Canis lupus familiaris: one gene and its partners. The protein of the gene in region 4 interacts with the protein of the main gene of each other region in a biochemical or structural test. Links are inferred from orthologs where the notes say so. Each region holds a gene or a part of one and is shown on either strand. Other genes may lie near its edges. The genes, in order: LTN1, RNF216, RNA-binding E3 ubiquitin-protein ligase MEX3C, UBE2D2, PJA2, PJA1 and MYLIP.

Region 1 (3,653 bases), on a different chromosome or scaffold from region 4:
AATATGGGGAAAAATACCTCTTTGTCGAAGAACCGAAGGTGTAACTTCCAGATAATTCAAATTAAATAGCAGGACAACTTGTAAGTAAAAGCATTTAAAATGGCACCTGGCATATAGTATTATATCAAGTATTTTTATCTCTACTTTCACAATCTCTTTTTTTAAAAATATGGTCTTGAAATTATCATCTCATTACCTTTGAGCGAAACAAATCCTTAATATGAGTTACATAGACAGATGACTTACTGTGGGTCACTGAGTGTATCAGGTGTTTCTTTTATAAGATGATCCTGCAGTACCTATAGAGGGGAGAAAATCCCATAGTGTTGAGATTCTATTGAATTGTCAATGGTGAACAGAGCATAAGCCTTATCTTATCTAAAAGTTTCTACCCCTTCCCAAAAGAGTAGCAAAATTAAAGCAGCAAAACTAGAAGGTTTGAACTGTAAAGTTCAATTGGTAACAATTTTTCTTTCCCTATCAATCCCCAAGGTTGACTGCTTTTGCAGTTAGAAAGAGAGGGTACTTCTTCTGAACATCTTCAGTACCTTCAAGAAGAGTTTTCCCTTAAATACTCCTGGTCTCTCGCTCCTCTATCCCTCTTGTACACAACAGTGAAGTAGAATCACCGATGAGTTTTAAGTTTGGGAGAGAAGTTAGGCTGTTTTCCCCTCTGAGAGCCTCCCTGCCCATAACAGGACAACACATATTGTGTGTGCTCTGCTTCATCAAGGAGGAAAGTTTAAGGCTCCATTCAAAGTGAGTAAGCCTGCCTACTACCAGGGCGCAGTACTAGGGAACCTACTGTTCTAGTACTGCTTTTATCAGCAGTAACAATAGTTATCATTTATTTAGCTTTTCCACAAGCCAGGTATTGATTTGAGCACACTTCATCCATTAAGTTAATCCTCACAACTACTCAATGAAGTACAAGTTAATTTCCACTTTAATAAATGAAGAAATGGAGGCACAGAAACTTGCCCAAGGTCACACGAATAACTAATGGCACAGTTGGGGCTAGAACCCAATGTTACGACTCAGAGCCCATGTTCTTATAGACAGTATGACATAATGTTTATAAATCTCACATTTTGGTCTTCATTTGCCTAACTCCTCTCTAAAAAATTGGTTTTGAACTTGGGAAAGTTCAAACCCATTATCTGTAAGAACTGTGACATAACTAAGTAAAGGGGAAATAATAGAGGAAAAATCCACATATTCAATGATCAATTATCCATCCATAACAAAACCAAGAACAAAAAAACCAATATAATACTATATAATACTATAATACTATATGCAAAACTATAGACAGCCAAATTAGTTGTCTCAAACTCCATCTTCTAAAACTCTTAGTATCATAACTCATCATACTTCATTCTCACAATACTTAAATAAACCAATGATTCTTGGATTAGACAACTCCCTTTGAGAATATGATTAAAGCTACAAACCCTGTCCCTAGAAAAACAAACTTGGTAAAACTGAAAAATAAAGAATGGGAGAATCAAGAACTCAAATGGGGAACTAGAATGCACGTATGTGTGTAGGAGAGATGTTAGGTGCAAAGATGAGACAGGTAAGCTGGGACCAGACCATGCAGAGTCCTGTAGGCCAGGATAAGAAATCTGGACTTGTGAGTATAATGGGAAGCCACAGGAAGGCTGGATAATTGAAAGGAGAGAGGATGTTTAAGAAAATATTGTACACAGGGTGTTATGGAAACACAGGTGTACTAAATAAAGGAATGAATGTCTTTGAATTTCTATGAATTTCTAAAAATCCATGAATTCTAAAAATCTTCAATTCCTCTCTTCTCTCACAGTCCATCTACTTTGATTTCTTGAGAGAATACTAATAAGCTTGGTTGTCTGGTTTTTCCAGCCCATATATTAGGAATAACAGAAATGAAGAAGGACAATATAAGACACAAATTGAAAGCCACAAAAAAAAAGTTATGGCTGATACCAGTCTCGCAGAAGTGCTGGCCATGTGTTGGAGAGACCTTTATATCATTAAGAGGAATATAAATTTATATCGCCTTTTGAAGGGCAATTTATCAGTATCCATGAAAATTTTAAATGTTCCTATCCTTTGACCCAACATATGCTTACTAGAAATTCTATTATCACTCCCACAGGGTCTGAGGAGATCTGTTCAAGAATGTTTACTGAAGCAGTATTTGTTATAATAAAAAACAGAGGGAAAATCTCAGATGCATATTAATATAAAAGGAGTTATATAAACTGTTGTACATCTATATCATAAAGCCAACAAAAAGAATGAAGTTTATCTGTATACATGTATCAATATGGAAATATGGGGAAAGTAAATTTAGATTTTTTAGATGTATTCTTTTTTCAGATCATGTAACATAAAGCATAAACTTAAATCTTTTTGGTACTATGACTAAAAGTTATAAATTAAGGACGAAAAATTTAAATAACTTAGAAAAATTCAATCTAAAATGTTAATTATGGGGCAGCCCAGGTGGCTCAGCGGTTTGGTGCCACCTTCAGCCCAGGGTCTGATCCTGGAGACCTGGGATCGAGTCCCATGTCAGGCTCCCTGCATGGAGCCTGCTTCTCCCTCTGCTTGTATCGCTGCCTCTCTCTGTGTCTCTCATGAATAAATAAATAAAAATCTTTAAAAATAATAATAATAAAATAAAATATTATGTTTAAAAATCAAAACCAGAAAAAAAAAAAAATCAAAACCAGTCAGTTTTATTAAATACCATTTTTAAAAACTGTCTTCCATTAGGAATATTTCACTTAGCTATTCCTTCACAATACCATGTAAAAGAGCTATCATTATAATAAGCCTCATGTTCCCTAAATACTTGTGGGGAAAAAAAAGAGGACAGTTCCAAGAACTTACACTTGTAATTTCATCCTTACAAAATGCTATGGCTTCAGGTTGCTTGCTTGGCGGAAAAGCTGCTTCAAAGGCATCTTTTGCTGCAGATGCAGCTGGTGTGTAAGTATCACACTGAGCCATTAGCCAATAGCCCATTAAACTTTTTAAATAAGGAGCCAAGTGTTTCTTCACTTTAAGAATAAGTTTTTCAAAAGCCTGCTGTGTGGCTTCTCGAACCCGGCGATCATGATCCTATTGAAAATATAAAATGATTTAAAATAGCTCTACCCCATAAGAATAAAAATACAGACATTTCTGAATATGCTATGATGACCCATTAATAAGAATCCACCGATATGCAGAGCTAAACTAAAATTAGTAAATTCAAAAATTGTGAAAAAGTTCATTTTTTCTTTTTCCCTTCTTGCAATGAGATAAAAACTCTTCAAGATAGACTCAAGGTCAGGCCTTGAATATTGGGCAATTCACTCTCATTCTTCCGCAGTAAATATCCAAAGAAATTAAACTGTTCAATTTTACTCTAACTAGAAAGTATCTAGGTAATTCTCCAGTAATTACCTGATTTCTGAAAAAAGATTCTCAATATACCTTAAAAACATGATTCAATCTGCATAACAATACTGACATAACATTTTATCATCCTCACCAAAAGCAATCATATAAATTTAATAGTCCTCATGACTTCAAAAACTGTACAAAAACAAACTACTACAAGTTTTTAATACTTACAAGTGAAATTTTGCAGAAAATTCTTGGCCAGTATGGAAGAACTC
Region 2 (4,344 bases), on a different chromosome or scaffold from region 4:
CAAGAATCCTAAAAATCCTCTTATCAGTGTCTTTTTACAATGGGAAAGTTTTTTTTTTTTTTTAAAGATTGTGTTTATTTATTCGAGAGAAAGAGAGAAAGAGAGAGAGAGAGAGAGAGAGAGAGAGAGAGGAGAGAGAGAGAGATAGGCACAGGTCTCCAGGATCACACCCTGGGCTGAAGGCGGCACTAAACTGCTGAGCCACCCGGGCTGCCCACAATGGGAAGGGTTTTAACCCAAAAATTAAACTCAGAATCTTCACTAGGTAGGTTAAAGAGTTTAACATATAACCTTATGATTTTCCTCAAATGTCAACCGAAAATTGGTTCAGAAACTGAAATAAGCAAGCACATCCTTATTCACAAGGGGGGGATCATGGTTTTCAATCTTTTTAGAGGTGAATCCTCTGTGAATTCATGATAAGCTGCCCCTGCCACCCCAAAAGTGCCTATAGGTTCTACTCTCCCACTTATTTTCATTTGGCACTGAGGTGCTGTTTCTTTTAAATCATAAGATTTCGTCATAGAACCAAAATTTCGTGGCCTGTGAAACGCTGCCTCGTAGGACCATTGCTGACATAGCTAGCCTCACCATACACCTCTCCTCCATTCACCATTCTTTCAGGGCCTTGAACGGGCCATGCTCCTTCCTCTTACCTCTGGCTGGCTGATTATTTTTCACTGCCTCTTTCTGACCAAATTAACTCCATTCATCTTTGAGTTTCTTATCTTAAATATCACTTCCTCAAAAATACCTAACCAGGAGGATCCCTGGGTGGCTCAGCAGTTTAGCGCCTGCCTTTGGCCCAGGGCGCGATCCTGGAGTCCCAGGATCGAGTCTCGTGCGTCGGGCTCCCAGCATGGAACCTGCCTCTCTCTCTATGTCTATCATAAATAAATAAATCTTAAAAAAAAAAAAGAAAAAAAAAAAAGAAACACCTAACCATCCCCATTGTTCACTCACACAATATATCTCAATCTTTCAAAGTACTTGGCACAATAATAATCTACAAATACTTAGAAAGCTACATTAAATAGCTATCTGCTAAAACAAGTTCCAAGGATGGAGGACCCGACATCTTATTCATTCCATTAGCCGCAGGACATACTGCTTGGCACAAAGTAAATACTCCAGAAGAACTTTTCGAATAAATATCATCTACAGGGATGGCAAAGTAATTAGTAGGAGGAGCATGAGCTATGGAACCAAACTGAATTCAAGTCCCAGCTCTGTGGGAGTTTTTTGACTACTTATTTTTCAGTACCTCGTTTTCTTCCTTTTAAAATAATAACGGAACCCCCATTACTGAAGATTAGAGGAGTTATTACATTAAAAAATGCTTAGAACAATACCTAGCATAGTTACTAGCATCATGTTTGTCTTACTGACAAGAAAAGTAAAATATTGCCAGCTATGAGAATTAGTTATGAGGTCTGAAAAGACCTTAACACAGCCTAGAATATAGCAACTACTCATTAAATAGAAGCCATCAGGGTCAGCAAACTCAGGTGCTCTCATCGACCCTATTTCATAAACTTTCAGTCTTCTTGACTCAAATTTCAACTTCCTTTATTAGATTTCTCCATTCGGGCTGGAAGGCAGGTTTAAAAAAAAAAAAAAAAAAAAAAAAAAACTTGCTGCCCGCTAGCCTCTATTTAGGTTTAAGGGGGGAGATCCCAAATCTGGCTCCAGTTCTCCAGCGATTTCCTCAGTTTCACACCAGTCTGTACCCCGAGCCCCAATAAATTACCTATACAACAAATAGAACAAAGCAAGGCTGTTTCTTGGCAGTCTTTTTTCAGGCAAGCGTGCTAAAATTGAGGTCGGTCCTAAAATCTTCCCTGTCTTCTCCCAGTTCCCTGCAGGGTAAAAAAAAATCTTCTCTTTGCATTAGCAAAGTGACTTGGATGGACAAGCCATACCCGGGCACTTATCACAACGCAGGCACTGGGGGGGGGGGGGGGGGGGGGGGGGGGCGCCGGTGGGCGAGACGGGGGGGGGGGGGTCTCGCACAGGACTGAAGTGGCCCAAAGTTTTGAGACCGTCGTTCCACGCAGTCTCCAGCCACGTCCCACGCGGGAACGCCGGTCTCGTTCACTGCGCGGCGCTCCAGGCACATTTGTCGGGTTCGCCTTCCCCGCGCTGCAGAGGGTTTTGACGCACTTGCATGTCTTCACGAGGGCTGGGTGGGAGCCGCCGGCTTTCCCGACAAGACGGCGCTCCTGAACCGAGTCGGGAGGGTTGGGGACTGAGGCCCGACGCCCCTGGGCCCCGGGGGGGTGGGGGGGTGAAGGGGGACGCCGGAGTTCAGAGTCCCAGTGCATCACCGCCCGCGCGCTCCAGGCCGCGCTCGGCTCCACCGACGCCGCCTCCCGCGAGGTGCCGCCGGGAAACTCGGGTCTTTCGGCGCGTTCGCCCTCGCGCAGCAGGCCGAGGGACCGGCCCGCGAAACTTCCCGAAGTGGCGGGCGCGGGGGAGCGTCCGCCAGCCGCCGCCGCCGCCTTTGTGGCTCCCGCCTCACCGCCAGCCCCGCTGCTCGCGCCGCCCGGCCCTCGGCGGGGCCCCGCGCGGCTCCGGGCCCGCTCGCCTGCGGGAGGCCGCCGGGCCAGGCCCGCGCCCCCGACTCCGCGGCCCCGCCGCCCCTCACAGCCGAGGCCCCCGCCCCCGCCCCCGCCCCCACCCTGGGGCTTAATGGAGGCGCTGGGCTGAGACGCCACTCGCCTCACGCGGCCTGCCGAGGAGCTGGGCGCGCCCCGCGGCCGACACTTACTCGCCACTCAGCTCGCCGGCTCGCCAAGCGGGCTCGGCGGCTTCTGTCGCCACAGCTTTTAGTCACCAGAAGCGGCCGCCGACAGCTTCGTTGCCGCCGCCGCCGAGGCCGCCGCTGCACTCCTTCCGGCCCCGCCGCGACTTCACCCCGCGCCTGCGCACAGCGCCCCCTCCCGACTAATGACAGGAAGAACCATAGAGGCACGCCGGGTGCTAGGGAGGAGGGGCCTGGAGAGTAAGACCATAGAGAGGGACGTCTGGCCGCTCACCGCCCACTGAGTCTTGACTCCCCCACGAGGTGGGAGGACGAAGGAAACTGAGGGGCCCTTCCCCCAACCTCAGGAAGTGTCGCCTGTCTCCCTAGGGATGAAAAGAGTGGAGGCGGGGGAATGTGGGGTAGGGGGGAGCAGATGCCCATGGAAAGCTATTGGATATGCATTTATTTGCACCCCTTGCCTTTGGCAGGTCATTCATCCAACACCTATTTTTCAAAGAGCTTCCTGTGTGCCAGGCACTGTTGTAGGAATTGGGCATACAACGATATAGAGGGCCCCTGTTCTCCCCAAGTTAATCTTTTAGTGGATAGATATATAACAAACGCACTAAAATACTGGCTCAGGCAGGAAGGGTTGGGGGGGGAACAACACAAGAAAAATAGAGCAGAGGAAGGGGTAGAGAGTGATGGGGATGCCAATGCGGTCATGAAGTCTTCTAAAGAGGGACGTTTGAGCAGAAAACGAAATGACATAAGGAGGTCTTAATCAGAGGAATGCTAGTTAGGAAGAGATTATAGGAGTCTAAATAATACCCAATGGTGACCTTAACTAGTATGGTCAGGAAGGAGGGGGAGGGGGGAATGATCAGAGTAGGGATTTTTTTTTTTTTTCAAGTAGAACGGAGAGATTTGCAGATGGATTGGATGTGAGGTGAGAGGGAAAGGGTAACTGCAAGGTTTTTGGAACGTGCAACTGGATGAATGGGGTTTCAGTCATAAATATGGGGGGAGATTGGGAAGAACAGATTTTGGTCAGAGTAGGGAGAAGTAAATGTGTTTTGGACGTGTGAAATTGCCAACGACACCTTCAAATTAGAGACGTCAGTCAGCATTTGGATATATGAGTCTGCAGCTTCAGAAAGACAGGATCACTCAGGCTAGGGATTTAAACTAGGAATCACTGAGATAGAGATAACGTATGAAGCCATCAGACTAGCTACACTCACACCTAGGTAATGAGTGTAGATAGAGGGGAGAGGACAGCTGAGGACAGACTTCAGGGTCACTTAAACATTTGGAATCTAGAGGATGCTGCGGAGGAAAACCAGGAGAGTATGGTATCTCAGAGGCCCAAGAGACAAAGTGTTTCGACAAGAAGGCAATGATCGGTGTTGCCCAATGCTACTCAGAGACACAAGATGATGCAACTGAACCTCAGGGAAATGATAAGGAGGGACCTTAGCTGAGGGCGAGGTCAGGGAAAAGATCTGGGAGAAGATTTGTGAAGGAGAGAGTAGAGAACGAACGATCAGTCGAATGCAGTAGCCTTGCAGGCACTAGAGTTCCGTGATCAGAAATTT
Region 3 (4,324 bases), on a different chromosome or scaffold from region 4:
CATACGCTCCTGGGGAGTACAAGTATGAGGTCAACACTGCCAACTTTCAACACTATCAAAAGAAGTGGTTTGTTTTTTTTTGAAAGACACTGGAACCAGAGGCCATCTACATGAGTTCTAGCCTATATGACTCAGAATTCCATTTGTCCTACCCTTTGCTTCAGAGCTGAAGTCAGAAATGTCTCCATCTGTGTCATAATTATTTCCAAAGCCAATTAAGAGATGGCAAACAGAAAATTATGACTTCAGGTAATGAATAAAATGGCAAGAACGGGTAATTGTTTAGAATGAACATTTAGTTCACCCAAAGCAGACAAGTAAATTGAATGATTTGCTTTGTTTATTCACTTAGAGAAAAGACAAACCATTACACTTTAGAAGAATGCAGGGGTGCCTGGGTGGCTCAGTCAGTTACACATCAGATTCTTGGTTTCAGCTCAGGTCACGATCTTGTGGTCGAGGGACTGAGCCCCACATTGGGCTCCACGCCCAGTGTGCAGTCCGCTCCCGATTTCTTCCTCCTTCCCCTTTGCCCCTCCCCACTTGTGCAGGCGCTCTCTCCCTCAAATAAATATATAAAATCTTTAAAAACAAAAAACAAAAGGGTGCAAACGTGGTGAGTTGCCTTGTTCTCCATAGGAGTGGGAAAGCCCTTTACAGATTTTATTATGGTGCTTGCTGCTGAGGGGTAGAGGTAGCAAAGGGGTCAATGATCCCACTAGAGGTAGGAAAAGGGGTGTTAAGACTTTCTGGTCTTAAGAGAAGGTAGAAGATGATGACATGCTTTTAACAGTACTGTCAACTCTAGGAAACATTAAGTGTAAGAGGAGTAGTCAGCAATTTGTCTACATGTCCTAAGACATAAATAGAACCACATTTCCTTATTAACCAGTAAGTACAGCCCAATAAGCACAGAAAAACTAAAGACTTTATCTCATTTGCTATTAAATAGATTACAAAATATTATTTTAATAGCTTGTACAAAATAAAAACTCAGAATGAATTCAGTTTAAATAATGCATTTGTATAAAAAGACAACAGTTTGTGTAAATGGGGTCCATTTTTTCATGCTTTTAAGAGTACGATACAGATAAGGACAAAAGTTTGTGTTAAACTAAATATACAAAAGATTTCATTATCTTGTCCCTCAGGCAAACTGAAGTCAATGTTCTTTTCTTTTGTTACCATCAACTGGCACCACAAGCAACCTGTGCCGAGGAAGTGCCCTCCTAGTGTAGCATTAAGGGTCTTTCATACTCAAGCCTGAACGCACACATTCCCAGCCCCTTTCCACCACACCCCTTCGAAGACTCCAAGCGCCTAAATAAATAAATAAATAAATAAAACCCCACTTTCTAATTAGAGCTAGAGAGTAATCCTCACATTGTTCCCAGGTCATTCTTTGTCTCCATTTGTTAAAGTCCCTGCAGGGTCGGTGTCCTCACAGGTAGGGCTGTCACCTACTACACAGAGTGCCATTAACCGCACGTTAGTTGGATTAAACTTTGGTTTCTTAAGGGCAGCAAGTTTGTGTGAATCGACCTCACATTTCCAACTCCCATAAACTCAACACCTGGCAAAATAGAAGCTTGAAACCTATCAATTCCTTAATGCTCTTAATCGAATGGCCAACTCATCCTGGACTTGTAGGTGGGGGCGGTAGGTTTCATCCCCCGTACGGTGAAACAGCGCTCTCCTGGATCAGTAGGATCTCAGGCATCGCAAAAACACCCTCCCCCCTCCCCAAACCGGCCCAAATAAAACAAACAAAAAGCAAGGCATCTGAGTCTTCTTTACCAAACTACCGGAATAAACGGTCGGTGGAAGGGTCCCAGCTTCGCGGGGTGCCTGGAGCAGCAGTCCTCGGCAGTCCGCGTCCTTTACCCAGAGTGCAGACGGGGTTTTCGTATTAAGATCCCAGAGGGGAGCACGGAACGCACGGCGATGCGCGGCCCCAGCGCGCCCACAGGCCTCTCGCTGCCCGCCCTGCACTTACACCGCTGGGGGGGGGGGGGGGGGGGCGGAGGAGGTCACCCCCGCGGCAGCGCCGTCGCGGCCCCACTCGCCCCGAGAGCCCCGCACCTGCCCGTGGGGGCTGCTCTCCGCCCGGCCCTGGGGTCGGGCGCGGGGCACAGGGCCTGCCCCCGCGCACACCGCACAGCCGCTCCGGGAGCCCCAGACACAGCTCCTTTGTCTGGACCACGTGGGAGGAGTCTGCGCGCAGCGCCGAGGATTCGCCGAGGCCGAGTGAGCGCGCCCGGAGGCTCGGCTCCGTTACGGTGCCGGCCGCTGTCCCGGCGTCGGGGGCGCGGAGGGCGCGGAGGGCGGGAGGCCGCGTGCCCCGGGGCGCACCTGCGCGGCCGCAGCATCCACCCCCGCTGCAGGGCGGGCCGCGCCACCTCCTGCCCCCGGGGCGCCGGCCCCGCCTGGCCCGGGATGCGCGGCCCGGGTACCGCCGGGCGGGATGCGCGGGGCTCCCGCAGGGTAACCCGGGCTGCCCCCGCGCTGCCCCGCACGGTGACCCGAGCTGCCCCGCACGGTGATCCGGGCTGCCTCGGGGGTGACCCGGGCTGCCCCCGGGGGTGACCCGAGCTGCCCCCGAGCTGCCCCGCAGCACCGCCGCCCGCGCCCCCGCGGCACTCACCCTGGCGCCCGACGATCTCGGCGACGTGCTCGGAGCTGGGCACCGGGACGCACTCGGTGGTGTTGACGCTCTTCCTCCGCAGCAGGGCCGCCTGCTCCCCGTTGAGGGCCGCCGCGCCGCAGCCGCCGGGCCCGTAGGCGTGGGACAGCACGGCCGCCATCATGGCCGGGGCGGCCGCGTCCCCGTACAGCGCCCCCGCCGCGTCCCGGGCGTCGAAGCCGGCGGCGGGCAGCAGCACCGGCCCCAGGGGCCCGCCCGGCAGCGGCGGCGGCGGCGGCGAGTGCGGGGCGGCGGGCGGCGACAGCAGCAGCAGCGGCGGCCGGGGCTCGTCGGCGTCGTCGGGCTCGTCGGCGTCCGGCCCCCGCCCGCCCCGGCCCCGGCCCCGGCCCCCGCTGCCCGGCCCCGTCCGCGTCCCCGGCCCCGTCCGCGTCCCGGTCCAGCGCGGCCTCCGGGGCCCCGGGCCTGCGGGGCGGGGCGCGCTCCTCCGCGGCCGGGGCGGCGCTGCCGGGCTCGGCGGGGCCGGGGTCGTCGAGGCCTAGCGCGGCCAGGCGCCCCCGCAGCAGCGGCGCGGCCCCGGCGGGCTCGGGCTCGGGCGCGGGCGCGGGCTCGGGCGCGGGCGCGGGCGCGGGCTCGGGCGCGGCGGGCGGGGGCAGGGGCGCCAGGGCCGCGGAGCTGCCGCTCGGCATGGCGGCGCGCGGGCGGCGGTCAGGCGCGGCGGGCGGCGGGGCCCATGGCGGGCGCGCTGGCGGCGGGGCGGGCGGCGGGCGGCGGGGCGGACCCCGGGGCCGCGGCGCGCCAGGGCCGCCCGGAGCCTGCAGACGGCGGGGTGCGGCCGAGCCGCGGGCCAGGCAGGTCCCGGCGGTGGGTGGGGACGCGGCGGCGGCGCGGCTCCCCTCTCAGGGCTTCTTTTGTTCCATGGCCTCGGCCAGCCCCCGGCGCGCGCCGCGGCGGCCACGCCCCACGCCCCACGCCGCGCTCCCAGCGGGGCCGGCGCGCTCCGATTGGCTGCGCCCGCCCCCGGAGCCCGCCCCCTCCGCGGCCCCGCCCCCGCCCGCGCCTCGGGCCCCGCCCCGCCGCTCCCGGAGCTCGCTGATTGGGCGGCCGGGCCGGGCCGGGCCCGCTGCCTTCCCCTTCCGTCCGCTCCCCTCCCGCCGACAGGGGCCGTGATTGTCCGCTCCGCACGTCAGTCTTTGTGACGCGGCGTCTGGGGGCGGGGAAAAGCGGGCGGAGGAAGGCGCGGTAGCCGCTGAAGGCCGGGCTGCGCGGAGAGCGCGTCTGCGCACGCGCGAGCGGCGGCGGCGGCGGCGTGCACCTGGGCGTCCCCGCCTCCCCGCGGGTCCGGCTCGGCCTCGGTGCGGGCAGCCTCGGGGTGCAGCGCGGGCGCCGAGGGCGCGGTCCCGTCGTTCGGGGGCCGGGGCCCGGGGACAGTCCTCGGAGGAGCGAGGGGCGGGGTCCTCCTGGGCGGCCCGGGGCGCTGCTCCCGCGGGGCCGGGCCCTCCCCCGCCCGCCGACCCGGCCTCCAGCCCCGCCCAGGTGCCGCGGGGCCCTCGAGCTCCACCCGACTTCTTTGGGGCTTTTCAAGAAAGTTAAGCCGTTTCCTCCTGCGACGCGCTCTTCCCCAGTGTGGCCCAGGCCACCCCACGCGGGGTCTCCTCTGCAGGTGCATTGTTCCGCGGCCCC
Region 4 (3,653 bases):
GCCACCGGGGCTGCCCTGGCTTTCCTTTTCTAAGGTTTTTGTTAAATTAAAAAGGTGAAAGAAGGGAACTTAATTTTCATTTCCTTCATTATTTTGCTCCTTTCTGTCTATTCATCTGTTGGGATCTTTTCTCTTACTGATTTTTATATATGTTCTTCCTATTTCAAACTTATTAGCCCGTTATCTCATTTGCAGCCTTTCTTTTTCTTTATTTGTATTTGTACAGCCTTTTTTTCATTATTATATTTTTACTTGGACAGCTCTTAATCCACTTGTGATTTCATTTGGATATGATGTTGAGGGGCAGTACAATTTCAAATCAACATACTGTTTGTTGGAGTGCCTGGCTGGCTCAGTGCCTCTGCCCCCTGCTTATATGCTCTCTCCCTCTGGTAAATGAATAAAAAAATCTTAAAAAAAAAAAGAAAATGTTAGCTACTTAGTTCGCGGATTAAAAAAAAAAATCCCCAACCGACTCATGTAATTAGGCTTTATTTAGAATTACTGGAATTTCATTGCAAAATTAGTAACTAATTTTTATTTTTTTAAAAATATTTTATGTATTTATTCATGAGAGACACAGAGGGAGAGAGAGAGGCAGACACACAAGTAGAGGGAGAAGCAGGCCCCATGCAGGAGCCTGACGTGGGACTTGATCCCAGGACCCAGGATCATGCCCTAGGCCGAAGGCAGGCGCTAAACCGCTGAGCCACCCAGGGATCCCAGTAACTAATTTTTAAAACACATTTTCAAACACACACAGGACTATATACTGAAAATATTAAGATCATCAAATAGAATTTTTATTAAACTGGTCATCTTAGAGAATCAATCTGTTTCTGATAGAAACCTCAAGACAAGAGCTGGTATAACCTTAAAGAGTTTGAATATGAATTCACCTATACTTTGTTCTTCAAGGACCTAAAGTCTGTATTTATACCACAAGCATTCCTTCAAAAGAACTGCTATGTCCTCTTCTGGAACAGTATCTATCCTTTCCATTCCCAGATCTCAAGGTTGGAAGATACATTAATTTCCTCTACTTTAACTTTGCTCTAGAAGAAATTCATACCAACTGGCCATTTTCCAACTTACGCTTGAACAGCATAATGGACAGAGCTGTCAAGACATCAAAGAATACCTATGCCTGAAAATCCAATTTCCTCCAATGGTCTCAAGGTGTACTAAAAAATAACGGGAACTTACTACCTCTTCTTGAAAGGAATATGAATAATCATTTCAAAAAATAAATAGACAACAAAAACAAAAAAACAAAAACCAGGGACACCTGGGTGGCTCAGTTGGTTGATTATCAGACTGTTGATTTTGCCTCAGGTCATGATCTCAGGGTTGTGAGATGGAGCCCTACATGTTGGGGGCTCCATGCTCAGTGCAGAATCTGCTTGAGATTCCCTCTCTCCCCCCTCTGCTTTTCCCCTTGCTTGCATGTGCATGCTCCCTCTCTCAAATATATGCATCTTTAAAAATAAACAAGTAAAAAATATAAGACAAAAACACTGCTGCTTTATCTTAATATCAGATACCCATTCTATTACCTTTTGAAATAGTTAGTGCTGGAGACCACTGTGACCGGAGAATATCAAGACAAATGCTGCCATTACTGTTAATATTTGGATGATAAATTCTTGTTGTAAACGCAACCTATAGGGAATAGGAAAACTTTTTGTAAACTGATTTATTAATGTCATAGAAAGCACATAAAAACAAATGCCATATCCCAATTACCTTAGGTGGCTTGAAGGGGTAATCTGTTGGGAAATGAATTGTCAAGAAAAATACTCCACCCTGATAGGGACTGTCATTCTGTTGATAACAAGAAAAGTGGGATTAAAATGAGTGAATTACATAAACACTTACTCTGAAATCAATCTGAATACTTACTGGCCCCATTATTGTAGCCTGCCAATGGAACACTGAAAAAGAAGAAAAAAACAACCATGAAGCAATATTTCCATTGTATCTACAACATAATTACATATCAATTCCTAACCCCAGTTCATTTATAACTGGGTATGGCAGTATGGTAAGTCCTGGGCAGGATGAGGAATCTAAATCAAGTCTGAGACTGAAGAAAGAAAAGAAAATGACTAGTATGGTCTTGAACACTGATAAGGTACTGTGAGAAAGTATTTGACTAAAATATTTTGAAAATTCCTATCAGGGAGACAAAATTCTTGACAAGGGCCAAGTTTTCATTTTCATTTTTATTTATTTATTTATTTATTTATTTATTTATTTATTTATTTATTTATTTATTTTCAAGTTTTCACTTTTAAATAGGCATTTCTTACCTCAAAAGGTAAAAAAGAACAAAAGATTCAACTCTTTAACTTGTATCATTTCCCCAACACATTAACATAGAATACATTCCTTTTATAATACTGGTATAGAGCAGGGCTATAAAGTCAAAGTAGATAATATCCCAATTAGGAAAGACTTGTTTTTACAGCAAGAAAAAATTTCTGAGAGCATTCATGTATAAGTCTTTAGAATTACTAGTCCCTCACTAACAGATGAAAGATCAAGGTCTCTTTTTTAAATGATCTAGAGTTGGGCACCTGGGTGGCTCAGTTGTTGAGCATCTGCCTTTGGCCCAGGGCATGATCCCGGGATCCTGGGATCCAGTCCCACATCAGGCTCCCTGCAGGGAGCCTGTTTCTCCCTCTGCCTATGTCTCTGCCCCTCTCTCTGTGTCTCTCATGAATGAATGAATGAATGAATGAATGAATGAATTAAAAAAAAGATCTAGAATCTACAACACCAACAAGGCAGAGAAAGACAAACTAAACTAAAAACACATTAAGATGGAATTTAATTAACAAAAGCATGTGAAGACCTGCCATTAAAATCTTAATGGAGGATTTCTGCTACACTGGTTAAATATAATACCTACTGGAATCACTGACTTAGGTCTCCCTCTGGAACTCTTCTACACTCCTAGATGTCCTTGTGGAAGTATAAAAAAGAAGGGAAGAAGGTAGTGGGAGAATATCTAATCCTGACTCAAATTATAATGGTTTGGTTAGCAGTTGAAGAGTCATTAGATGAAAAAAAAAAAACAAAAAATCACTACAGGTTCTAAGTAGAAATAACTCTCCAGGGGTTCCTGGGTGGCTCAGTGGTTGAGCATCTGCCTTTGGCACAGGAGGTGATCCCGGGGTCCTGAGATTGAATCCCACATTGGGCTCCCTGCAGGGAGCCTGCTTCTCCCTCTGCCTATGCCTCTCTCTGTGTCTCTCACAAATAAGAAAATAAAATCTAGAAAGAGAAAGAAAGAAAAGAAAAGAAAGAAAGAAAGAAAGAAAGAAAGAAAGAAAGAAAGAAAGAAAGAAAGAAAGAAAGAAAGAGAGAAAGAGAAAGAGAGAAAAAAAAGAAAGAACGTACTCTCTAGAAATAGTGGGCAAAATATTTGGCCATAAGCAAAAAATATTGTTGTATTTTATAGGAACATCTATATTTCAAAAACCTTTCATTTAAGAATCAATCTTAGGAGTGCCTGGGTGGCTCAGCTGATTAAGCTTCCACCTAAGCTCAGGTCATGATCTCAGGGTCCTGGGATTGAGCCCGCAGTGGGATCCCTGCTCAGTGGAGAGTCTGTTTCTGCCTCTCCTCCTGCTTGTGCTCTCTCAACT
Region 5 (4,168 bases), on a different chromosome or scaffold from region 4:
CAGAACGTTCTTGGGAAAATACTAACCAGGGAGATTGGTGATGCCCTTACATAACCACTCAAAAGTCAAAACCATCAATAAAATTCAACACCCACTTACGGTTTTTAAAAATGTCATCAGAAATTAAAGACAACAACAAAATCATCTTGGAAAGCCGAAAAGAGAAGAAAATATTTTAACTTAACATTTCCCGTTTAACAGAAAGTTTCAGCAAACATCGTTAATGGATGCTAAAACATCAGAAGCAGTCCCTCAAAGTCAGAAACAACACCACATTTTTAGCCACCACTGCTATTCTTCAAAATTATACCGCAAGTGTACGCTAGCCAAAGCAATGAGGAAAATACGTTATAAAAAAAATGAAAAGAAAGCCAGAAAGGTGTGAACACTTCTAGGTAATCACCAACTCAAAAGTGATTAGATTCATGATAAACAAAAAAAAAAAAATCCGTAAGTTTTCCTATAACCAGAAAGAGAGAGAAAATGTTCCTGCAAGTTTCTATCCACCAGAGCAAATCACATCACACTCTAGCCAGGATTACTAGGAAGGAATGCCATAGTATGGGGGGCGGGGACACAACTACTATAAAACCCAAACTAAGGATATAAAGCCAGATGTGAATAAAAGGGAAAGACACACCATACACGCACATATTCTGGGGGAGAGGCTCAGTATTACAAAGGTCAGTTTGCCCCAAATCCATCTAAAATTTCAATGTCACATTCAAAAAAAGAAAATAAAAAACTAAGGATTTTTAAAAATTTGTAAGTTGCATCTAAAGTTCATCTGGGGAAGAAATGCATAAGAAACAGTCAAGAATAATTCTGGAAAGAGGGAAAAACGGTCATCAAAATTTAAAACATGCATACCATTTAACGCAGGAACTCCATTTGGAGGGAATCTATGCTCCAGAAGTGATCACACACAGAGGACGTTTCCCTAACAGGTGACTTTTAGAATAAAGGCAGGACCAGAAGGGGAAGTGGGTGCTGCACTATTTACCTTACGTTCATTCCTCCAACTGTTGGAATTTTTTTAAAAAATTTTAAGGTTTAAAGTGTGCAACTAAAAACTAATCAATGCATTAAAAAGTTGTCTTCAAATAAAGCAGTATTTGACAGCGAAAAGAAACTAATCGAATGTCTTTCAATAGGTCAAATAATCCCAGCTCCTCCAAACCAATGAAATACCGCTTACCCTTAACAAAGTTATCAGAGAGAGCCCTAAAGAACAAACCAAGGTGGGCCAGACACGTGGGCAGGTGAGAGGAAGGAGGGACGCAGCGAGGTGTTTGGTATTCCTCCCGCCTCGCCCCTGAACCCCGACTTTATATGTATGTGTTTAAAAATGCGTTTCTAAAAATGCCCAGTAAATGGCTAACTTCAGAGACTGGAGTAGGACAGGAGGATGACAAGTGTCCAAGTCTTGCTCCATAGGCCTTTTCCTTATATTGTCCAATTTTACATCGAGCTTGCGTGTCTGGGGCCAATATTCAGGACTTAGAGTCATCTCCTATAAAAATGGGATGGATGCTATGAGACAAAAAACAAAACACAAAAAAACCTACAAATCGTTAACACGCTTCTTTCTGTTATTTTCATATTTATTGACATGCTCTTGGAATGATCTGGAGTCCTCGGCAGAGGGGACTGCCATTTTAAGGAAATTTGACCAAATAGGTCATGATAAAAAAAAAAAAAAAAAAAGCAAATACAGAAAGCCTTAAAAAAAACAAACCTACATAAACATAAAGTTCACAGAGGCAGCAGACTCAAAGCAGGGCCCGTGCATACGGGAAGCAAAAAAAAAAAAAAAAAAAAAAAAATTTAATGCCTGGCGAGGGAAGTCTCCTCAACAGATTATTCTTCCTTTTTGCAAAAAAAAAAAAAAAAAAAGAGTATTTTACGTCCTCCCTTTTTTCTTCAACTTGGTCCTCGGGCGGCTTTAAACTCGGCATTTCGAAGGTGCGCAAAATGATTTAGCAAGCAGCCATCCGCGGGAGGCCGGCCTCCAGGCGGCGGGCGGCGGGCGGGGGAGCGCGGCCTGACACTGCGAGCGGCGGGGGCACCGGGGGGCACGGGGGGGCACGGGGGGCACCGGGGGGGGAGCTGGGGAGAAGCTGGGGGGCGGGGGGGCACCGACGGGAGCTGGGGGAGCATGGGGGGGCACGGGGGGGAGCGGGGGAAGCACTGGGGGAGCTAGGGGGAGCACCCAGGGGAGCACTGAAGGGAGCACCAAGGGGAGATGGAGGGAGCTGGGGAGCACGGAGGAGCACCGGGGGAGCACCGGCGGGAGCACGGGGGGAGGAGCTGGGGGAGCACGGGGGGGGCTCGGGGGGGCACGGAGGGAGCACCGGCGGGAGCACGGGGGGAGCTCGGGGGGACGGGCCGCGCGGGGGTCGGCGCGGCCGAGGGCCCCGGGAGGCGGGCCGGCCCGGCGGGGAGCGGCCGCAACGGCAGGCGGGGCGGGGGCGGCGGGGGCTCCGCGGGCCGCCGGGCAGCACTCGGCGGCGGCGGGGGCCGGGGCGGGGGCCGGGGCCGGGCCCGTGGCGCCGCCAACCCCACCCACCATGGCCGGCGGCGGACGCAGGCCCCGCGCCTCCCGCGCCTCCCCCGCCCCCCCGCGCCCCCGCCGCGCCGCCGCCGCCGCCCTCGCCCCGACCCCCGCGCTCCCCGCACCACTACAGCTCGGCCTGAGGAAAGAAAAGGAAATACGGCTCACCCTACAGTGCAGCGGCCCCGCAGCGACGGCAGCGCCCGAGCCTCAGCGCCACCACCGCCTTCTTCTCCGCCTCCGACTCCTCCCCCGCGGAACGCGCAGCGGCGGCAGCGGCGGCGGCGGCGGCGGCGGCGGCGGCGGCGGAAGCAGAGGCGGCGGCGGCCGCGCGTCCCGCCCCCAGCGCCGCGGCGGAGGCGGAGGAGGCGGGCACGCAAGCCCCGCCCCCGGGCGGTGCCGGCCAATCGGCGCCCAGGGCCTCTGCAGGAAAAGTCCACGCGCCCAATGGGGACCCGGGGAGTGGGCTCACGTCACCGGTTGGGACGTGGCAGAGAAAGGGGAAGGGACTCGGCCCGAGCCGGCGCCGCAGACCGCCCCGGGCCAGGAGGGCGCCGCCGATTGGCCGGCGGGCGGGAGGCTGCGGCTGCGCTCCCCGGCCCGGCCGAGGCCCCTGCGGCACTGCGACGCGCGGGGTGGGGCGGGGCGGGGCGGCGCGGGGCGGGGCGGGCTCGGCGCGCGGCCTTTTGTGGTTCGGGCCGCGAGACAGGGCGGGGCCTCCGCGATGGGGCGGGAGCGCCCGGGCTGCAGGGACCCCGACGCCGCCCCGGCCGCGCGCTCCCGCTCAGCGCTAAGCCGCGGAGGCCTGGGCGCCCGGGTGACCGGCTCGGGCTGGAGGCCAGCGCGCTGCCGCTCGGAGCCGGGCGGGGCGACAGCGAGCGCGGGCACGGCCGCCCCCCGCCCCCCCTCCCCGCGCGCTCCGCGGGCCCCGCCCCCACCCCCCCCCACCCCACCCCAGCCCCCCCTGCGGGGACGCTCGGCCGCCGCGCATCCGCACCAGGTGGGGGGGCGGGGGCGGGGCACTCGGCCTCCCAACCCCTCCCGGCCCCCCCCTCCCCCCCCCCCTCCTCCCCTCCCTCTGCCCCGCCCCCTCCCCGCGGGGACGCTCCGGCCGCCGCGCATCCCTCCAGGTTGGGGGAGGCGGAGACGGGGCACTCGGCCTCCCGCTCCCTCCCCATCCCCTCCCCATCCCCTCCCCATCCCCTCCCCTCCCTCCTCGGCCTCGCCTCTCCCCTCCCCCTCCCCGCGGGGACGCTGCGGCCCCCTGCGCCCCCCGCCCAGGTGGGGACGGGGCACTCGGCCTCCTGCCAGCCCCCCTCCGCCCCCAGCCCGGTCCTGACCCCCCTCCCACTTTGCACCGGGAGGCTCGGGGGCTGTGCAGCCCAGAAGGACCAGCTCCCATCACCTGCCCGACGGTAAATACAACAGCTGTAGTCCCGGGGCCTTCTGCTTAACTTAAACACGGGTAACAGTTGACTGAATCATGCCGTGATGCTCAGTGGTTTCTTCGGCCCGCACACCTCCTTTTTTTTTTTTAATTTTGTTTTTCCCCCCCCTCTCCTGAACGTGTCTGCTTCTCCGGTTACGGTCCTGCTCTCCTCCCACCTTAGTCCC
Region 6 (4,156 bases), on a different chromosome or scaffold from region 4:
CATCACGCTTAAAGCTAGAGAACTGTGGAGCCACCCCAGCCAAAGACCTGGCCCCTTTCTCTGGGTCGTAGGGCTTATCATCTTTAAACTTGCCAGTTTTCCCTCTAACTGGTGCTCGCTCAACAGGCCCAGCCCCCTCCTCCTCACTATCATCTGCCCCAAAAGAGTCAACATGTCCATAAGCCAATCCTCTTCTGCTACCTGAAGCCCTGTACTCTCTCGGTGGGTACCTGGAGTAGTCCTCATTATCAACATTCAGGCTGGCTCCAGAGCTCTCACTGTCCTCCCAACTACGACGGGTGATGGAAAATGGTGACCGGCTCCTCTTGGTGGTTTGACTGGGGGCTGATCTGTGCATTGGGACTTCGGATGTTGTCTTTCTCTGGCTGGAAATCCTGTCCTGCTGGCTCGAGGATGGCCTGAAACTGACATAAGCATGCCTTCTTCCATACCTCCTGCCTGTATTGGACTGATACCCTCCTGCTGGCTTGGGCCATACGGGCTTGCTAGATTCCTGACCCATGGCTCTGACTTAGGAGGGTTTCCAATACAGCTGGGGCTTGAGCGGAAAGGCTCCTGCTCCCTGCACAAGCTTGGGAGATGGGAAAGTCAAATCAGTTCAGAATAAAAGAGCAGGGAGATCTATTTTCACTTCAGCAGGCAGTAACAGAAAGGATAAGGGGCCTTTACAATTAGTTTCACTTTCTTCTAAGGCCTGAAGTAGCATTCCAGTGACTGTCAGGTGTAGACCTGGAACACATTTTTAATGTTGGCAAAATGATTACAAAGCTGGGTTGGTTGGAGAGCCAGACTTGGGGGAGAATCTGACAGAAGATGGGGGTGCCTGGATGCTAGGAAGGTGGGTGAAGTAGTGTGAAATTAGGCCAATGTGGAAGAGGAAAGATTGTTGTGGTTATCTTATGGGGTATCTGCATCTTTTCTGAGCCCTGCAGACAGACAGGAGAAATGCAAATTGGGATGGGGTGAAAAAGAGATCACCATGTGTTCATGAATGCCTAACGTGTCTGTCAGGAGGAGAGGGACAGGTGGAAGGGGGGGGGCAGTCATCATGCAATGAAGAGATGCATGTTTGTAGGGGGAGGGGACAGGTGTACTGGGAAGAGGCGTTAGTGTCAGACAGAAGGACACCCATTCTGGATGTGGGTAGGGAAATGACAGGTGCCAGGGTGGGGGGTGGCTTCAGAGGAGAGGGGTATGTGTAAGCATGACAGAAAGAGAATGTGCATGTGTGGCTGTATATGTGCAGTGGCTGCAACTCTGTGGAGGGAGCCCGTTTACGTGTCTGTGGCAGGCAAGAAAGGGTTTGGTAGCATTGGACAAGGGTGGCCACGGTCTGTGAGTATTCAGCAAAATGGGAGGCAACAGTGGAGAATGTCAGTGTGAGTGAACGCATCCACGAGAGGGACAGCACAGGAGAGGGATGTGAGGGTGGCTGGTGGGTGGAATAGGGAGCCAGCAATCAGGGAAATATGTGTATTCACGAATGTGGCTAGCTGGGGGGTGATGGTGTCCCCAAAGAAGGATTTATGTGAGTGTTTGCACTGCAGGAACCAGCAAAGGAGGGCTGTCTATGCACGTATGTAGCAGATGGGGAGCAGGGCTGGGAGCATCTGTGAGGGCTGTGTGAATGAGAGTGTGTGCGTGCATATATATGTATGTATGTATGTGGCACATGAAAGAGGAGCCAGCAATCAAACGCTATCGTCATGTGTGTGGCAGGCAAGGGCTAGGGCAGCCCCAGAAGGGGTGTGTGTGGTGTGTGTGTGCTCACACAGAGGCAGAAGAAGGAGGGGGCTGCTTCTGGAGGTGAGTATGTGGCAGGCAGTGAGAAGCAGGGAAAGGCACAGGAGGGTGTGACATTGTGCAAGAGTGTGTGTATGTGTGTCTGTCCACGTCCTCAAGGGGAAGAGGATGTGCCAAAACCTTGAGTATGAGGGGGGTGCAGGGAGGGGGCTGCAACGAGAGGTTTCTGTGTGTGTGTCTGTATGTATGCCTGCGTACGTGTGCGTGCATGTGCACGCGCACCATGTATGCATGTGTCTGTGTATGTCCCTGCCCACACATGCGAGACATGGGGAGGGGGAGGGGGTCACAGTGTCATAAAGAGAGATGGCAAAACGTTACTGCTCACACTGGCAACTCCAAACCGATGGCCAGGGAAGGGGAATAAAAGAAAGGAAAGGCAGGCAAGGGTCTAGTTTTTCCCTGGTAATAACTGGTTTCTCAGACAATTCTTTTTCCTGGGAACGATAATATATTTACCTACAAATCTGAACAATTTGCCATTCAGGAAAAACAACTGCAAAATGGGGGAAGAAAGGACATGGAGTGCTCTGTAAAGGGACCAAGGAGGGAAGAAGTAGGGGAGGGCCCGGACCCCCACTCCCCTCTCAAACAGCAATTGAAGCCATCCGAGTAGGGGCCACGCCACGCGAAGGGGGCTGGGAGATGGAGGATGACGCCCCCGAACAGGTCGGGGGATACAGGCCTCACTCTGCAGGCAGGTCCTGCGTCCACCCCACCCCTTCCCAAGGGGCGCGCCTGAAGATCTGTTCGCTAGAGGACCCGAACCCTCGTCCCCAAGCCCCGCCACCTGCCCCGCCGCCCCTTCCGGATGAACTGAGGAAACAGCCTCCACTCACCCAGGGCTGACAGCCGCGCGCTCCTCCGGGCGAGCGGAGCTCTCGGGCCGCCGAGCGTCAGGGCCGCCGGGGCTGCTCCGGGTCTCCAGCTCCTCCCCCGCCAGACAGCAGCCGGGCAGGCGGCGACTGCGGCGGAGGAAGTGCCGGTGGCGTCGCCGGGCCCGCCCCCTCGATGTGGCGGGGCGGCAGCTGCTCTCCACCAATCAGGCTGGGCCCGAGAGCATGATTTCATTTTAAATGATGAAATCGTCAAGGATACAGAAAAGGACAGCAAAAAATGTAACCAACAGCCAGCTTTAGCAAATGTTAAACATTTAGCCATACCCTCTTCTGTTCTGGGGGTTTTCTCCCCCTTTTTAAAGATGAAGTCGACAAATTCTTTCTGATTAATTCTGATGTTCAAGTAATTACAATAATATATCATATCCTATGTTATATGGCATGGTTTGTACTAGAAGCATAAAAAAATGTGAAATTTTATCTAGAGTTGCAGGTTCATTTTTTTTTTTGACCTGGTAATTGAAGCAATTGAACTGTTTACAGTAGAATTTGTTGCTGTTAATTTTTTTTCTCTGTTAACGAAACCAACCTTTTCTATCCAAAAGAAATGATCAGTCATGAAGCGTAATACCGACTCACAACCTGGTAATCTCATTGCAGTTTAAAAATACTATAGCTATACCTTTTGGATTTGTATAATTTTACAGAATTCTGAACTCTTTTATTAATTGCACTTTACAATGCATCTTTAATATTTATGGAATGTAAAGACTCTCCATGTTCACGACAATAGCAAAGTTTTGTTCTTGGAAACAAAATGCACAATACAAGGACAGGAAACATTAGGGTAACAAATATAATAAGAATAGGATGTATGTGTAACAAACCACTAAAAAAATAATATGTCGAACAAAGAGAAAAATTCAATCTATCAAACTGCAGAAGTGAGGTGGGAGGCAACAAGAAAGGCTATTTTTTAAGACCCAAAGGGCAGGAATAAATCCAAATATATCAGTATATAGTATGGATTAACACTAATTAAAAAAAAAAAAAGCAGACTCTCAGAAATCCTGAGTGGCTCAGTAGTTGAGTGTCTGCCTTTGGCTCAGGGCGTGATCCCGGTTCAGGGATCGGGTCCCTCATCGGGCTCCCTGTGAGGAGTCTGCCTCTCCCTCTGCCTATGTCTCTGCCTCTCTCTCTCTCTGTCTCTCATGAATGAATAAATAAAATCTTTAAAAAATAAAAGGCAGACTCTCATTTTAAGTATTTTGTTTTTCTTCAAATTTGATTATATGCTGTTTATATGAGTTTCACTTAAAGCAGATATAGAAATGGAAAATATATGCCAGTTAAATACCACAAGAAATGAAGAAGGAAGGAAAGGAAGGAGTGAGGAGGGAGGAATTAAAAGAAAAAAAGAAAAGCAAGAAAGAAGACAAGAGACATGTACCAAGGTTAATATCAGAAAAATCAAGAACTCAAAATAAAAAGGA
Region 7 (4,230 bases), on a different chromosome or scaffold from region 4:
AGATGTATTTGGTCCTCAAAGCTGCTGCAAACTTAAAAAATAAATTCATATCCTCAAGGCAGATTTGCATCTGGAGACCCAGAAAGGATTGATATCATGATAAATCTACATGATAAAACCATGATAAAACTACACAATGAAAAGTCCAATGTGTTGTAATATGTGTGTGTGTGTGTGTGTGTGTCCTCTTCTCTTACTCTACTCCATTATCTTGAAGTACAGAGTGGAAACCTTCACAAGTCTGCTTTAAGGTAAAAAAACAAAAACAAAACACAACCTATTCTGATTAACATAAACAGCTAAAACAGCCTTACTACACATGCAATCATGTGAATATTTTGCAAGAGATTTCCAAGAACACTAAGAATTTGATATACTAGCTTGCCTCAGAAATAAAACTGAACATCTCCCTCACTGTTTAAAGCTCCCTAACCAGGTAGAAGAGACATTTCAAATTCAAATGAACAGTATTTCAAAATATGTTTCCATCAGTCCTTCAGCAGAGGAGAAGAAAAAAAAAAAAAAAAAAGACATGAGAACCCTTAAAGGATTTTGCTCACTTATCATACCTTGAGATTGTCACACATTTTTCATGTGTGGTGAATTTCCAACCCAAAGGATTATGAAAAATATCAGAACTCAGATCCAAAGTTTGTTGTCTTTAAAAGTCGTTTTCTTCCTTTCTTTTTTTTCTTAACATGCCACTATAAGATTCAGGTCTCTTGCATTTCAGCAATAAATACTGAATGCCAGTTTCCTAATTTGGCTCATCCTTGAAAAGTACTACAGACAGTCCAGGGGGAGAAAACATTTTCTGTTTGAAAAAGGCACCCACGTGCTCCAGTTGTCTACCACTGCTGGTGGTTTTCTACAAGTAAAGAGATAAAGTCAAATCTAAACAATCCTGTGTTACAGATGTGTGGGTTCAAGTTCCGTTACACCGGCCCTACAGTGTTTTTCTACTAAGATTTCAAGATGCTTAAAAACTTCCAAAATTCTGCATGAAGTCAGATGGAGCGCTTTGCTACATGTTGTAATTTGACACTAGGCTTAAATTGACCAAGTTTAAGTAACCCAAGAGGAACTGTTTCCTGCTTTCTGTTAGAACCCTCTACAATGACCTGTAGTAACACTGCTGAGGCAGAGGTTACTATCGGGCATTTGATGCGGCTATCAGGAAGTCAGTTGGGTTTTTTAACCTTTTTTTTTTTTCTGCCTTGTGGCACTGATCTCCAGCGTTCACAAGAATCCAGCCCTGCCCCTTGTTGTTTATAAAGACAAAAAAAAAAACCACAAGAGACAGAAAACATACCCCAGGCCAACTAGGCGGTTCCCTCTTCACCTCAACAAAAGGGCTGAGCCGTGGAAAACTTCTCAGTTAGGAACCAACTCACTCTGTGTCAACCACGTTTGCCTGTGAACATCTCTGGGGAGGTGCAACAGCCCTTTCTAAACGGAATCAAAGGTCTATGTATGTGACATTGGTTTATTTCAGTGCCACTTTACCTCGTCTGCTCCTGTAAGATGAGATGAGGTTCCACGAAGAATTTGACTCTCAGTTTAAGCCGGTAAGGGGCTAGCCCATCCATCTGCTGGGAGATCCGATTTCTCAGATTTAGCCATAAACTTTCGCCTTTGCTACCCGTAAACTGCAGTCCAAAGTAATCAACTTCTATAATTCCCAGCCGCCTGCACACCTAGAACAGAAAAGGAGTGCAATACGGATGAGCAAATGGTCCATGTGGTCAAAGCAAACCCAAGGACACCGTCTGGGTGCAAGCTTCCTGCCTGCTTTTCACAACGTTCAACAAAGGTGCTACAATTCCTGCCTTAAGCTGTAAGAACAAAGTTCTAAGGTCCCAGTGTTGTTAAACCAACAGAGAGGCTTTGTGCTTCCTTTAACACCTAGGACACCGTCAACTGCAGTAGGGAGAAAGGAGTCCTCGAGAGTAGCCTTCCAGAAAGGCCGAGGGAGGCAATCTACAGGGTTATTTTCTCTTATTCCAATCACCGGAATCCCCTCCACCAGCACAATCCGCACCGCTGATTTGGCAGATTATCTGGACAATTTTAACCATCTGGACTCCAAGAAACAAACACGGTGAGGAAACACGCCACAAGTGTCAGCTAGGAGGTTTTCCACACAGCTCAGGTCTAGGGGGTTTGAGGGCACAGCGTTCCCCTTGAGACCAGGTTTTCTGTCTGTCATACCAACGTGCAGTTTCGAGCCATTCGTCGTTACTCCTAAGGGGAATGCGTGCTTTCAAGGCGACGGAGTGGGTGACCCAAACCCGCGGCCCTCCGGGGCCCCGCAAACCGGGAGGTGCAGGTGGACGGTGCATTGGAGAAGCAGCAAGAGACAAGAGCGTCGCCTGTCTGCCCAGCAGCCACCTCATCTGGGGGCTCAGGTGGCACCGCCAGACCCCGCGGGGGACCCGACAGGCGGCATCATGCACACACCTGCGGCAGGTGTGCCGGGCCGCCTTCTTCCGGGAAAGTGCGGGGCTGGGGGGGGGGGGGGCAGCCCGCCGCGCGCGTCCCCCCCGCCCCCCCCCCCTGCGCGCTGCCAGCCTGCGGGGACCGCGGGCCCCACGGCCGCGAGGAGGAGGAGGAGGAGGAGGAGGAGGAGGGGGGGGGCGCTCCCCGCCGGGCCGCCGCAGCGCCGTCCGCTCCCCGGGAGGCTCCTGGCGCCGCCGCGAGGCCCCTCGGCCTCTGGGGACCGCCGCCCCCGCCCGGCCCCGGCCGTCACCTGGTTGAGGCAGTCCTCGCCGTTGGCTTTCGCCTCCACCTCCACCTCCATCAGCACCGCGTCCGGCCTCGTCACATAGCACAGCATGGCTGGGGCCGGCGCTGCCGCCGCGGCCGCCTCCTCCTTGTGCGCGCGGGGCTGCCGCCTCGCCGCGGCTCACAGGCAGCCCCGGGCTCGGCGACGCTGGCCCCCGGGAGGCTGCAGCGCCGCAGACCGCCGCCCCGCGCCCCCGCCCTCCGCCCGCGCGCCGGCCGCCCGCCCGCCCGGGTCCCCGCGGCGGCGCCGCACTCCAGCAGCCCGACTGCCTGCGGCGCGCCGGGGACTCCGCTCATATAGTGGCCCCGCCCCCTCCGGCGGCGGCCCCAGCCAATCAGCGGCCGCGCCCCGCCTCCGCCGCCGGGCCAGCCAATAGCGGCGCCCGCTCGGCCGCGGCTGAGTTCCCCCGGGCGGCCCGGGAGGTGGCGGCGTGCGGGCGCGGAGGGCTGCGCGGGGAGGGGGCCCGGGGTCCGGGGCCCGGCCGTCCCCGCCCCCGCCCCCGCCCCCGCCCCCGCCCCCGCCCCCGCCCCCGCCCGCTGCGCGACGCTGCTCCGAGCCGGGCGAGCGGCCCCGGGGCTGGGGCGCCCCTCTGCCTGCCTGGGATCCACCGTTCTCCAGGAGCCTTGGGTCGCTGCGAGAACGCCTACGGGAGGTGAACGTCCAAGGCAAAGGGAGCAACCCCCGAGCCCGGAGCAAACTGCCCCCGCGCCCCCCCGGGGGTTGCCGCCGTGGGCTGTTGGAAGGCGGAAGGATCGCTCCTCATTTTAGACCTCGGCGGTGGGGGAAAAAAAAAATCTGAGTATAAAAGTTTTTCTGTTTTTTGTTTTTTTTTGCAGGGCCACCTGTGTGGCTCAGTGGTTGAGCATTTGCCTTCGGCTCAGGTCGTGGAATCGAATCCCCCAGGGAGCCTGCTCCTCCCTCTGCCTGTGTCTCTGCCGCTCTCTGTCTCTCTCTGCGTCTCTCATGAATGAATAAATAAAATCTTTTTTTTTTTTTTTTTTTTCAGTTGACCACTGAGCTGCATCTAGCGTGGAGCTGGATCTAGCACTTCAGCATAAATCTTCTCCAGAAGCTTCTGTTTACAGGTTGTACTGAATCAAAACACCTTATGGGGCTCCAAGGCCCTCTCTCGTTCATCCTGTCTCGTGCGTTATTCATTCATTAAACGTTAATTGAGCACTTGCTGTGCTGCCGGTCCCTTCTCTCAGGCAACCAGATGTTATCCCCATCTTGAAGGTTAGGGACTTATCTCAGAACCTAACAGGTGGTAACCTCAGCAGTAGCTATTAGTAATTAAAGGCCTCCTAGTCTTCACTCATTTACTACTTGTTCCTTTTTGCCAATGCACGAGTTAGCCTACTCTTTGGTTTCTTTATAGGAGAAATGAGATGCGGGTTTCAGTCTTGGATCCTTGGAAAGCCTGCTTCATCTCTCTGAAGTTCAGT

The links.
Region 1: the proteins of UBE2D2 (region 4) and LTN1 form a complex in vitro, tested with the Homo sapiens proteins (2 studies listed by BioGRID). The link is inferred for Canis lupus familiaris from reciprocal best matches to the Homo sapiens genes UBE2D2 and LTN1.
Region 2: the proteins of UBE2D2 (region 4) and RNF216 form a complex in vitro, tested with the Homo sapiens proteins (2 studies listed by BioGRID). The link is inferred for Canis lupus familiaris from reciprocal best matches to the Homo sapiens genes UBE2D2 and RNF216.
Region 3: the proteins of UBE2D2 (region 4) and RNA-binding E3 ubiquitin-protein ligase MEX3C form a complex in vitro, tested with the Homo sapiens proteins (2 studies listed by BioGRID). The link is inferred for Canis lupus familiaris from reciprocal best matches to the Homo sapiens genes UBE2D2 and MEX3C.
Region 5: the proteins of UBE2D2 (region 4) and PJA2 form a complex in vitro, tested with the Homo sapiens proteins (3 studies listed by BioGRID). The link is inferred for Canis lupus familiaris from reciprocal best matches to the Homo sapiens genes UBE2D2 and PJA2.
Region 6: the proteins of UBE2D2 (region 4) and PJA1 form a complex in vitro, tested with the Homo sapiens proteins (3 studies listed by BioGRID). The link is inferred for Canis lupus familiaris from reciprocal best matches to the Homo sapiens genes UBE2D2 and PJA1.
Region 7: the proteins of UBE2D2 (region 4) and MYLIP form a complex in vitro, tested with the Homo sapiens proteins (2 studies listed by BioGRID). The link is inferred for Canis lupus familiaris from reciprocal best matches to the Homo sapiens genes UBE2D2 and MYLIP.

What each region holds. Positions count from the first base shown.
Region 1 is NC_049252.1:24,536,199-24,539,851, forward strand, and holds part of LTN1 (E3 ubiquitin-protein ligase listerin), read right to left. Parts: coding exon 3,610-3,653; intron 3,112-3,609; coding exon 2,881-3,111; intron 300-2,880; coding exon 247-299; intron 1-246.
Region 2 is NC_049227.1:12,342,562-12,346,905, reverse strand, and holds the start of RNF216 (E3 ubiquitin-protein ligase RNF216), read right to left. Parts: upstream 2,933-4,344; 5' UTR 2,771-2,932; intron 1-2,770.
Region 3 is NC_049222.1:23,929,143-23,933,466, reverse strand, and holds the start of RNA-binding E3 ubiquitin-protein ligase MEX3C, read right to left. Parts: upstream 2,842-4,324; 5' UTR 2,808-2,841; coding exon 2,645-2,807; intron 1,817-2,644; exon of another isoform or gene 1,798-1,816; intron 1-1,797. UniProt on the Homo sapiens protein: E3 ubiquitin ligase responsible for the post-transcriptional regulation of common HLA-A allotypes. Binds to the 3' UTR of HLA-A2 mRNA, and regulates its levels by promoting mRNA decay.
Region 4 is NC_049223.1:33,997,673-34,001,325, reverse strand, and holds part of UBE2D2 (ubiquitin-conjugating enzyme E2 D2), read right to left. Parts: intron 1,935-3,653; coding exon 1,903-1,934; intron 1,825-1,902; coding exon 1,747-1,824; intron 1,663-1,746; coding exon 1,557-1,662; intron 1-1,556.
Region 5 is NC_049224.1:2,731,836-2,736,003, reverse strand, and holds the start of PJA2 (E3 ubiquitin-protein ligase Praja-2), read right to left. Parts: upstream 2,870-4,168; 5' UTR 2,723-2,869; intron 1-2,722.
Region 6 is NC_049260.1:53,797,501-53,801,656, forward strand, and holds the start of PJA1 (E3 ubiquitin-protein ligase Praja-1), read right to left. Parts: upstream 2,815-4,156; 5' UTR 2,664-2,814; intron 751-2,663; 5' UTR 524-750; coding exon 1-523. UniProt on the Homo sapiens protein: Has E2-dependent E3 ubiquitin-protein ligase activity. Ubiquitinates MAGED1 antigen leading to its subsequent degradation by proteasome. May be involved in protein sorting.
Region 7 is NC_049256.1:16,553,819-16,558,048, reverse strand, and holds the start of MYLIP (E3 ubiquitin-protein ligase MYLIP), read right to left. Parts: upstream 2,919-4,230; 5' UTR 2,837-2,918; coding exon 2,750-2,836; intron 1,698-2,749; coding exon 1,507-1,697; intron 1-1,506. UniProt on the Homo sapiens protein: E3 ubiquitin-protein ligase that mediates ubiquitination and subsequent proteasomal degradation of myosin regulatory light chain (MRLC), LDLR, VLDLR and LRP8. Activity depends on E2 enzymes of the UBE2D family.